Arabidopsis thaliana: one gene and its partner. The protein of the gene in region 2 purifies or fractionates together with the protein of the main gene of each other region. This does not show direct contact. Each region holds a gene or a part of one and is shown on either strand. Other genes may lie near its edges.

Evidence for each region. Proteins that work in one complex are often made in the same cells at the same time.
Region 1: the proteins of HPA1 (region 2) and AT3G14390 fractionate together in Arabidopsis thaliana (co-fractionation; one large-scale study listed by BioGRID). This does not show direct contact.

The regions. Positions count from the first base shown.
Region 1 is NC_003074.8:4,805,099-4,809,982, forward strand, and holds AT3G14390 (Pyridoxal-dependent decarboxylase family protein), read left to right. Parts: upstream 1-1,571; 5' UTR 1,572-1,672; coding exon 1,673-2,160; intron 2,161-2,296; coding exon 2,297-2,471; intron 2,472-2,567; coding exon 2,568-2,717; intron 2,718-2,864; coding exon 2,865-3,026; intron 3,027-3,107; coding exon 3,108-3,293; intron 3,294-3,390; coding exon 3,391-3,513; intron 3,514-3,587; coding exon 3,588-3,677; intron 3,678-3,775; coding exon 3,776-3,856; 3' UTR 3,857-4,335; downstream 4,336-4,884. UniProt on the Arabidopsis thaliana protein: Specifically catalyzes the decarboxylation of meso-diaminopimelate (meso-DAP) to L-lysine.
Region 2 is NC_003076.8:3,247,307-3,252,881, forward strand, and holds HPA1 (histidinol phosphate aminotransferase 1), read right to left. Parts: upstream 3,659-5,575; 5' UTR 2,652-3,658; exon of another isoform or gene 2,565-2,651; 5' UTR 2,553-2,564; coding exon 2,319-2,552; exon of another isoform or gene 2,215-2,318; coding exon 2,131-2,214; exon of another isoform or gene 2,015-2,130; coding exon 1,860-2,014; intron 1,778-1,859; coding exon 1,680-1,777; intron 1,575-1,679; coding exon 1,466-1,574; intron 1,376-1,465; coding exon 1,218-1,375; intron 1,137-1,217; coding exon 721-1,136; 3' UTR 548-720; downstream 1-547. Other genes in the region: AT5G10336 (uncharacterized protein), read right to left, coding at 4,637-4,759.

The DNA.
Region 1 (4,884 bases), on a different chromosome or scaffold from region 2:
TCTGAGGTTCGAATGGCAAAATAAAAAACCAATGTCATTTCCTTAATGTATTAAGGTCATTTAAATAAAATTGTACACTTTTTTCACCTGTAAGCGTTCCAAAGTGTAGAATGGATAACTAGAAGGGTCAAAGGTATAATATTAATAAGCGAACTCACTTTTTGCCCAAGTGATTTCACTTCTTACATTTGCTTGATATAGTTACCCAAAAGTGTATATATATTCCCTTATACAATTGTTCTATTTTCTGGATTATAAGGGGAATAAGAAAAAAGAAAAGAGAGAGTATATAATAATACTTTTATAAAGTGATGTTAGATTCTAATTTGTAACGAAAAGTTCAAAGTGAAAGAAAAAACGAAAAAGTTTTTCTGTTTTGTTTTATATCTATAGCCAAGAAAGTTTCTCAGATTTACAAGAAGTTAACTGAGAAAAACAAAAAAAAAACTTATGAAGCATGAAAGACTAATTAACGAGGTGATTAATTTTGAGACAAATTAAACATCGAATTAAAAGTAACATTTGGAGGGTTTATATGTTATATATGTGACATGATAAGTCCGATTCATGACTAATGTATATCTGGAATCTAACATGGAAGAATAGAGAACGAAGCAGAGCCAAGGTCAACTTGCCAGACACGAATCAACAGATTGTGAATGAGACCAAATCAATGGTCATAAACCGGTTGGGTTTAAACCGGCAAGTCATCCTTGGCTCAATTCCATTCGTTATTCCTTCATGCAAGACCCTCTGATACAACCAAAGACTCCCATTACAATATTCTTTCGATCACGAGCTACTTATTTTCAAATGTGTTACCTCTTTCGTGACTCTTGTGTTGTGTGGTAAAGCCTAGTCGAGATGTGTCGGTATATATAGGCATACATATACAAATGCGACAAAATAAGTATATTATATTGTTTAATTTCTATATTCCATTTCTATATGCATGGCTGGGATTTTTGACCAAAACCCTAATTCAAGAATAGAATCCAAAAGATGGGATCAAAGAATATAATCTAATGGGCTGACCACATTTTCCGATTTAATTCGCATAGTTAATATTCTTTCCACTACTTTATGCCGCAGAAATTTGTAATTAAGTAAGACAAAGAAATACAGATATAAGATGGTCGTAGAAACCAGTAGAGGAATTTCATTTTTCGTGGATAAGTGGAATATTAATAAGAGAATGGTCTTTACTCTTTACAGTGGGAAATGGGAATAGTAGCCCATTATAATTTCATCAGATTCTATATATGCATGTTTGTATAAGCTAAAATAAATACGTTTAAGCATTCTTCAAAAAAATTTACAAGTTCTAGAGACTCTCTTAACGTCGGCAATTTATATTCTACTTTACATGACACTTTCAGGAAAAGAAAACTATACTCACTAGCAGATCATTAAATTTTCTTTTTCTTTTTTTGAATGAACCTTAGTTGTGGTTTTTATTTTTGTTAGCTAGAAACTTCAGTGTTTTTTTTCCGCCAATGGTAGTGCTTTGATGATGGTCCGGCCCAATTCATAGAAGGCCTTGAAAATGGGCCAGACCAATTCAGAGACCCAACAAGCTCGACTGTATACACAAAATTCACAAAAACAGCTTTTGAGAAGTTTTCTTCTTCTTCACCTTATTTTCGGGTATCAAAGCCACAAAACCCTGAGAATGGCGGCAGCTACTCAATTTCTCTCCCAACCTTCGTCTCTCAATCCACACCAACTGAAGAACCAAACCTCACAACGCTCCAGAAGCATCCCTGTCTTGTCTCTTAAATCCACATTGAAGCCACTTAAACGCCTCTCCGTGAAAGCCGCCGTCGTTTCTCAAAACTCGTCCAAAACCGTGACGAAGTTCGATCACTGTTTCAAGAAATCATCAGATGGGTTTCTCTATTGTGAAGGAACTAAAGTTGAGGATATCATGGAGTCAGTGGAGAGAAGACCCTTTTACTTATATAGCAAACCTCAGATCACTAGAAACCTCGAGGCTTATAAAGAAGCATTGGAAGGAGTGAGCTCTGTGATTGGTTACGCTATCAAAGCTAATAACAATCTTAAAATTTTGGAGCATTTGAGAAGTTTAGGCTGTGGTGCTGTGCTCGTTAGTGGAAATGAGCTTAGACTTGCTCTTCGTGCTGGTTTCGATCCCACAAAGTAACATTCTTTATTTACCCATTATTGCCCTGTATCTGATTTAGAGAGCTTTAACTTCATCCCTATAACAAAGTGTTTGACTTGTTGATGGAATCAGTATTGATATGAATGGTATGATTTGGTGTAAAATGAATAGGTGCATTTTCAATGGAAATGGCAAGTCTTTGGAAGATTTAGTTCTAGCTGCTCAAGAAGGTGTTTTCGTTAATGTCGATAGTGAGTTTGACTTGAATAACATTGTGGAAGCTTCAAGAATTTCTGGTAAGCAGGTCAATGTACTGCTGCGTATCAATCCTGATGTTGATCCTCAGGTATGGTTAAAATTTACTTTAAACTTTAGCATCATGTCTAACATAATTGGTCTTGGATATTAGTTAGTGAGCTTTTCTGTTTTATACATTTTTCAGGTGCATCCATATGTTGCTACTGGGAACAAGAACTCAAAGTTTGGTATCAGGAACGAGAAGCTTCAATGGTTTCTGGATCAGGTCAAGGCACATCCCAAAGAGCTGAAGCTTGTTGGAGCTCATTGCCATCTAGGCTCTACCATTACTAAGGTAACACTCTGATTATAGTTGCTTAAAGTTGTATTTTGATGTAATCAGATGAATATGGATTGCTCTCTGTTTAGTGTTTGCTTTTGGTCCGTCCTTAGATCTCAACTCTTGAGCTCTACGTATTTGCGTATGTTCTGTTTATTCCAGGTGGATATATTCAGAGATGCGGCAGTTCTCATGATAGAATACATTGACGAGATCCGGCGTCAAGGTTTTGAAGTTAGTTACTTGAACATTGGTGGTGGTTTAGGGATTGATTATTACCATGCCGGCGCTGTCCTTCCCACACCCATGGATCTCATCAACACTGTAAGAACAACATCTCTTTCGTTCATTTGATCTCAAAAGTAGTGGGATGGTAGAATTGTTACAATCCTTGATGTGTTCCAGGTAAGAGAGCTTGTTCTTTCACGAGACCTGAATCTAATAATCGAGCCAGGGAGATCTCTGATTGCAAACACTTGCTGTTTCGTCAACCATGTAACTGGTGTGAAGACGAATGGAACTAAGAACTTCATAGTCATTGATGGAAGTATGGCTGAGCTTATCCGTCCCAGTCTTTATGATGCTTATCAGGTAAAAACAAATATACTTCTCACAACAGCATCTGCAGATTTTGGTCCCCTTTGAGCTATAGCTAAACATTCTCTTGTTCATGTTTTTAACTCAAAAGCACATTGAGTTGGTCTCTCCTCCACCGGCTGAAGCAGAGGTTACCAAATTCGACGTAGTGGGTCCTGTCTGTGAATCTGCTGATTTCCTGGGCAAAGACAGAGAGCTTCCCACTCCTCCACAGGTATGATAAGGATATGATTCTGTTTGGAAGCTCAGGTAATGTGGAATCTTATGAGTTTATTGTATTCATTACAGGGAGCTGGTCTGGTGGTTCATGACGCTGGTGCATACTGTATGAGCATGGCTTCCACTTACAATCTCAAGATGCGTCCTCCGGAATACTGGGTACCAACACATTTTCTTGTTCCAGGAGAATCAAGATCCCGAGAGAAATTGTCATGAATTTGAACTTATTTTCTTCAATGTGTTGTTTGTTTTTGCAGGTTGAAGAAGATGGGTCGATCACTAAGATAAGGCATGCTGAGACATTCGATGACCATTTGCGTTTCTTTGAAGGTCTATGAACTCTTAGATTTACTCATCATTGTTGCTTTTTTGATTGAATTGTATGATTATTCGGAATCAGGACCATAATGATATTGCTGTTTTAGATTTTCACATTATGTGCTTTGATTCAAAGTCAATGAAGTGATCATATGAATAAGAAAACGTTCACAAGTCAAGACAGAAAATAAGAGGTGATTCTGATTATAAGAGGAGTCTTTCAAGCCAAAGTCGTCCATTGTCCAAACACATAAACACTCATCTAAGCTTCTTCCCATAGCTATAAGAAGATTCTTTCAAGCTTTTTGTTCACAAGTTTGCTTGCAGAACTAAATGAATCAATAACTACAACTACTATGTCATTAATCAAGAAACTAAAAGAAGATAGTTCATAGTTCACAGGACAAGTAAAGTGAATTTGGTTTATCATGTAGTGACTTACCGCCACAAGTCTAATTTCATCATGGGTTATAAGGAAGATTCCAAAATAAACCTTTTAATGTGTAAATGAGACGGTGGCTGGAAACTTGAAGTAGCAAAATGGTCCCATGCGACGCCGTATTGGCGCGGCCACCTCTCTCCGCCATATAATAGAGGTGGTCCTTTAAGTTTTATTTTCTTTCTGTGGTTTCTATGTTACCGTACGTATCAATTTTTAAAAGCAGCTATACATGGTACGACGTCTAACAACTATGTTACCTGAATTGTCCCATCGGGCCATTTAATATGTGGATGGTTGCATTTTTCTTCTTCTAAGTGACTAGTTTGTACTTGGTAAAGTGTTTACGCTAACATCCATTTGTAAGTTTGATTCAACAAATTAACTTCAACAGTGAAATGAACATGTCTAATTTGGAAAAGTTTGATTTCAAACTGAATATGTTAAAAATTTCTCAGCATAAATAAGATTAATATCCAAATGTTAATTAATTATTTTATTTTCAATTGGATGATCATAAAACTTGCAAAATAATTAATCAGAAAAAGAAGAAGCAAATTTTTTAATTATACTTGAACAATGAAAACCTAAATCCCTGCAATTTGGCTT
Region 2 (5,575 bases):
ACCGTCGCCGCCATGTACAATTCTCAAACTCTGACTTCTTGGAGGCAATTCTTCCAATTTGTTCCAACATCACAAAACAAAACACAAACTGTTCCAATTTGTTTTCTCACAAAATGAGAAGTTGACCTCGCCTTAATCGAAGATATATGCTGAGATATAAACGTTTACTTCAAGCAAGTGCAACCAGTCATGAGACCCAACTCTATAAAACCAGTCAGCTTCGGGATCGTTTTCCTTGAAAATCCTGATGAACTAGGCAGTGATATACCTATCTACAGGTCGGCTTCTTTAGAAAGCTGACTCTTGGGGCGATCTGGGAAATTGAGCCTGAGTTCGGCTGGTCGGTTTATGTATAAGAAATTAAAGTTGAAAATTGAACCAAGATAAACCTACGTTATGGATTATAGGAACCAACCATTGTCTTCACTTCATCTTTTTCAACATACTGTATGTTTTTGATTTGAGTCCGACCCGAATTAGTCAAGTTTCAGTTTTAATGGGCTTCATCAACAAGTTTACATATGGACTTAGGCCCATTTTCAAACCAAAAAGTACAATACAACAAAAGCTTCTCCTTGTTAACTGAAACAAAAACAATGAATCCTTTTTTTTTTGGTCAAACACTGAATCCAACAAGTGAAAACAAACAAAAAAGGAGGGAAAAAAAATCAATTTTATTTTTGTGTGGCTGTTTTAAGAATTCCCAAACAAATGGGGAAGTCAATAAAATTGCTTAAGACACTCCATGAGAACATCAGTATGTTCAGGCTTTCCAGCAGAAACTCGAACATAACCTTTAAGCTCTTGACTGTTGTAATGACGAACCATCACACCCATTTTCGCCAAATCCTCTTTCAGCTTCTTTGCATCCATTCCAGATGTAACCTCACAGAGAATGAAATTCGAATAGCTCGGATATGGATTCAAGAAAGGAACTTCTTTTAATAGCCCGAACAGTCTCTCTCTTTCCCGTACCAAGGCGTCTCTCACATCTTCCAAGTATTTCCCGTTTGAGAGTGCTGCTAAAGCAGCTACTTCCCCTGCAACAGAGACATTGTACGGTTGCTTTGCTCTCCACAGGTATTCGATTATACTCAACGGAAACGCTCCATATCCAACTCGAAGCCCGGCTAAACCTGAAATATCATCAGAATTCTTAGATGCAGACTTTATATCTGTAATGTTTAGATTATATAGAGTGATAAACCAAAATTTACCAGCTCGTTTGCTAAATGTGCGGAGAACGATAAGGTTTTCATACTTCTTCACCCATTTCATGCGTGATTCAACTCCTGAGAATTCGATGTAAGCTTCATCTAGAACAACAAGTATTGGCATTTCTAGAATCTTCAACAGATCGTCCTCGCTGATGATACTGTATCAAAGAGAAACTCGGATTAATAATCATGACGGACTACTAAAAAGAATTTTTCCTTTCGAGTTGTTTAGAGTGGTGGTGTTTTACCTCCCATCTGGATTGTTGGGAGAAGTTAGGAATATGCATTTGGGTTTTTCTAGTTCTACAACTTCAGCGATGCGGTCTACATTCAAGCTGAAATCGGGGTTTCTTGGAACTGTGAAACAAACAAAGACCAACATGTTTAAGACTATACATTCAGAGAGAGAGAGAGAAGCAAAATCGAAGAGAATGAAACACATGAAAATCGTAAATCTTTCACCTTTAATGACACCTGCTCCATTCACAGCCGCATCAAACACATACATTGAGAAAGTTGGAGGACAATCTATAATCTTCTCCCCAGGATCTAACACGCATCTGCAAGAAACAGAGTTTTAGTCAGAAAATACGATTCTGGTAGAAGCTCAATTGACTGAAAAATCAAATCTTGAAGCCATACCTCATGATCAAATCAATAAGTTCGTCAGCACCACAGCCTACAAGTATGTATTCAGACTCCAAACCAGAGTCTTGAGCCAGTGCATCACGAAGTCTACGACTTTGTGGATCAGGATAAACGTAAGGGAATTTCATATTGCCTAATGCTTCAAAAACCTACACAGAGCTTCTGAAACCTGAAGTTAGAGAGGACAACTAACTAACTAACAAAATTATCCTTTTTCCAGTCATCAACATATCTATGAATGAGTGAAAGAAAGATATAGACTTGCCTCTGGAGGAGGACCATATGGGTTCTCATTAGCATCTAACTTGACAATATCCTCAGGCTTTCTTCCTAATTGAGCAGACAATACCTAATTACAAACAAACATACACATTTTAGAAGATAAATCCAATCCAACCCAATCCAATCATCTATAATTGTCAAAAAATAAATTCAATGCAATCTAAATATCACCTCAAAGGGTAAAATTGGCTGATAAGCAGCCAATTGTCTCAAATGTGGACGGATAAAAGAGTCTCCCATAGTTATATTCTTGGATTCGTCTACAGCTGCACTTGAAGACTGAGCACAATAAACCCTATTCCGGATTGAGCAAAAGGGTTTCTTCAAAGCTCGAGACTTTCGAAGATTTGACTCTGAAGAATGAATAGAGAACGATGGAGAGCCCTGAACATTGATCACACCCATCAGTTTTCGTGTCTGCGCATATCAAAGGTGGAATCAGTTCAATCTAGAGGAAACATCTGATGCACATACTCAATTTCACATCTTATTGACAAGTAATACCTGAAAGTTGACAGGAAGAGGGGCAAATGGAGATAACCCTAAGTAGACGAGAAGGGTCGTGAGCAGGGAGACTAAAGTGACTGAGATCAGTCAAAAGCTTCGGTTTTTCTATGACTCACTTGCGATTCGTGGACAAAGGTGAGCCTTTTTTTTATTCTGAGTGACTGAGAATTGGCGTACCAATTTAGGGGTTATCCGAAATTGAATCCAAAACCCGGTTCTGAAGAATCGGGTCGATAGTGAGAGTAGGTAAGAAAGTCTTCCAAGTGTAGTGTTAAATAAAAAAGTCTACTCTTGACGAGGTGAAGACGTGAGAGTAGGTCAGATCGATTTCCCGGCGATCTAAAAGGAACCAGGAGCCGATCTGCACATCGGTGACGAGGTGAAGACGTGAAGCCTATGGGAATGTGATACAGGATTCACGTGGTGAGCTGGTGATCTGGCGAGCTGGCAATGTGAAGTCAGGGATGTTAAGCAAAGTACGTGTTGTGAGCTGGCGAGCTGGCAATACAAATGGACGTTAACGGCGATCGTTATTAACGTGGTTAACGTTTACTTTCTTTACCTTTTTGTATAAGAGCAACATGTTATGCTCATGCTTTCATTATCGAATAATCTGTAATCTTCAGAATTCTCTAGAACCTTGTAAGTGCTAGATTTCTCTCACATCGAGAGCTAGCTGAATCATTTGGTGTTTTATGAACATCGATTGATTGTTTGGTTTTGAATGATAATTAGAGATTTGGATTGTTCTTATGAATAGCAGGTTTTCCTGTAACAGAATGTTGGTGGAATCGTCCTGGAAACGACGATGGACGTAAAAATCGGTCACAAAGGTGGCTGATCTGATAGCCGCAGACATGCATCTTTGGGCTACAGCCAGGACGTGCTTGTCGCAGAAAAACAGTAATAACTCTTGTTAAACGTAATCAATTGAGGCAAGGATGAATCCGTTAGAAAGATAAGCCTTGTAGCTTCAAAATGATGTGCAGATCGGCTCCTGGTTCCTTTTAGATCGCCGGGAAATCGATCTGAAAGCAGACAGATCGGGTGTAGACGGATCTGTGTCTCGATAAACAACGCATGCTCGAGAGAAAAACCTATAACTCTCGGAAGACAGCACCAAATGGAGCAAAATCGATCTTGTTGGAAAGATAAGCCTCAGAGCTTCATGATGATATTAAGATGGGCTCTTGATGTTTTCTGAATCGTTGGGAGTTTGCTTTCTAATCCAGTTGCTCCCACAGTTCGAATCTGCGATTTGACAGGTGTCATATGTTTCATTGAAAGTGATAACGCTTAGTAAACAGCTCGGAATTGGATGAGGTCGGTCTCTATTGAAAGAAGCCTCGGGGCTCAGTTGATACTTAGATCGCCTCGTGATGCCCTTTAGATCGCCGGGAATTTGATTCCGAGGTCAACAGATCGGATATAGATCGATCTGTATTTTGTCACTGTCTTCTGCAGATAAACGGCAGTATCTCCGAGAAAACAGACCCTAACGAAGTGAGCTCGGGCTTGTTAAAAAGAGGAGCCTCAGGGCTTTAAATTGATCTGTAGATCGTCTCCTGAGTCTCTCTAGATCACTGGGAAATTGAGCCCGAGTTCGGCTGGTCGGATAGAGACGAATCTGCGCTTGAAAGAAACGCCAATATCGCTTGGAAGATTGCTTCGATTGGATCTAGGTTAGATTCGTTGGAAAGATAAAGCTCAGGGCTTCAAATCGACACGTAGATTGACTCCTATCTCTCTTTAACTCGCCGGGAAACTCTCTTCCAAGTCAACCGTTTTGACAACTGAATCTCTGACCTAGAGGCTTATCAGTAGAAAATCAGCGATATTCATCGAAAGAATTCACCTATAGAGATGAGATAGGTCTCTATAAAACTCGAAGCTTTCCGTTGTCGCGTAGATTGTATCTTGTTTCTTTCCAGGTCGCTTGGAGTTTGATTCGTAAGTTGGCTGTTCCGACAGCTGCGGATTTGTCAGGGAAATTGTGTCAAGTGCAAAGAAGCCGACCTGTAGATAGGTATATCACTGCCTAGTTCATCAGGATTTTCAAGGAAAACGATCCCGAAGCTGACTGGTTTTATAGAGTTGGGTCTCATGACTGGTTGCACTTGCTTGAGGTAAACGTTTATATCTCAGCATATATCTTCGATTAAGGCGAGGTCAACTTCTCCGAAAAGACGACTCTCTGGGCGATCCGTAGATGTATTAACCCTTACGAGATTCCCTGTGATTTGTCGGGAAATCGGCCCCGTGGTGAGCTGGATTATTCAGACGGATTCGTAGTTCTAAAGATCGCATCTTCTGGATAGAAGCAGGGATAACATTCGATAGACAGCTCTGATGGAAGTGAGGTCAGCTTCTAGGGACACCTGACTCGCTGGAAAATCCATAGATGTGCTACTAGTTTCGAGAATCGTTGAGACTTGTGGGGGAATTGATCCCTAAGATGACTAGTCTTCTTAAGAAAGGATTCTATGTCAAACGAGATTGCATCTGCAGAAACATGGAGATAATTCTCGGATGAGATATCGGATCGAAGGGTAGTTAGATTCCCTGGAAAGCTAACAACCGGGGCAATCCGTGAACATATTAAACAAATGGGGAAGTCAATAAATTTATTTTACATTATAACTGGTTTAAGGCATTTAGCTATTATATTATATTTATGGAGTGGAGGTAAGAAGACAACATTTTTCTAAGTATTCTAGTTTGTTTTTTTTATTTATTAAAGCAGTAAGTGCTTAACCTGCACTATGCATGAGCAAAAGTCTAAAAATGATATAAAAATATTTTGTAATAGATTTGAGATGTTTTGTTTCTCACTTTGAATGAAAAAAAAAAAACTTTTACTAAAAAAATTGTTGTCGGTTTATGTATAAGAAATTAAAGTTGAAAATTGAACCAAGATAAAC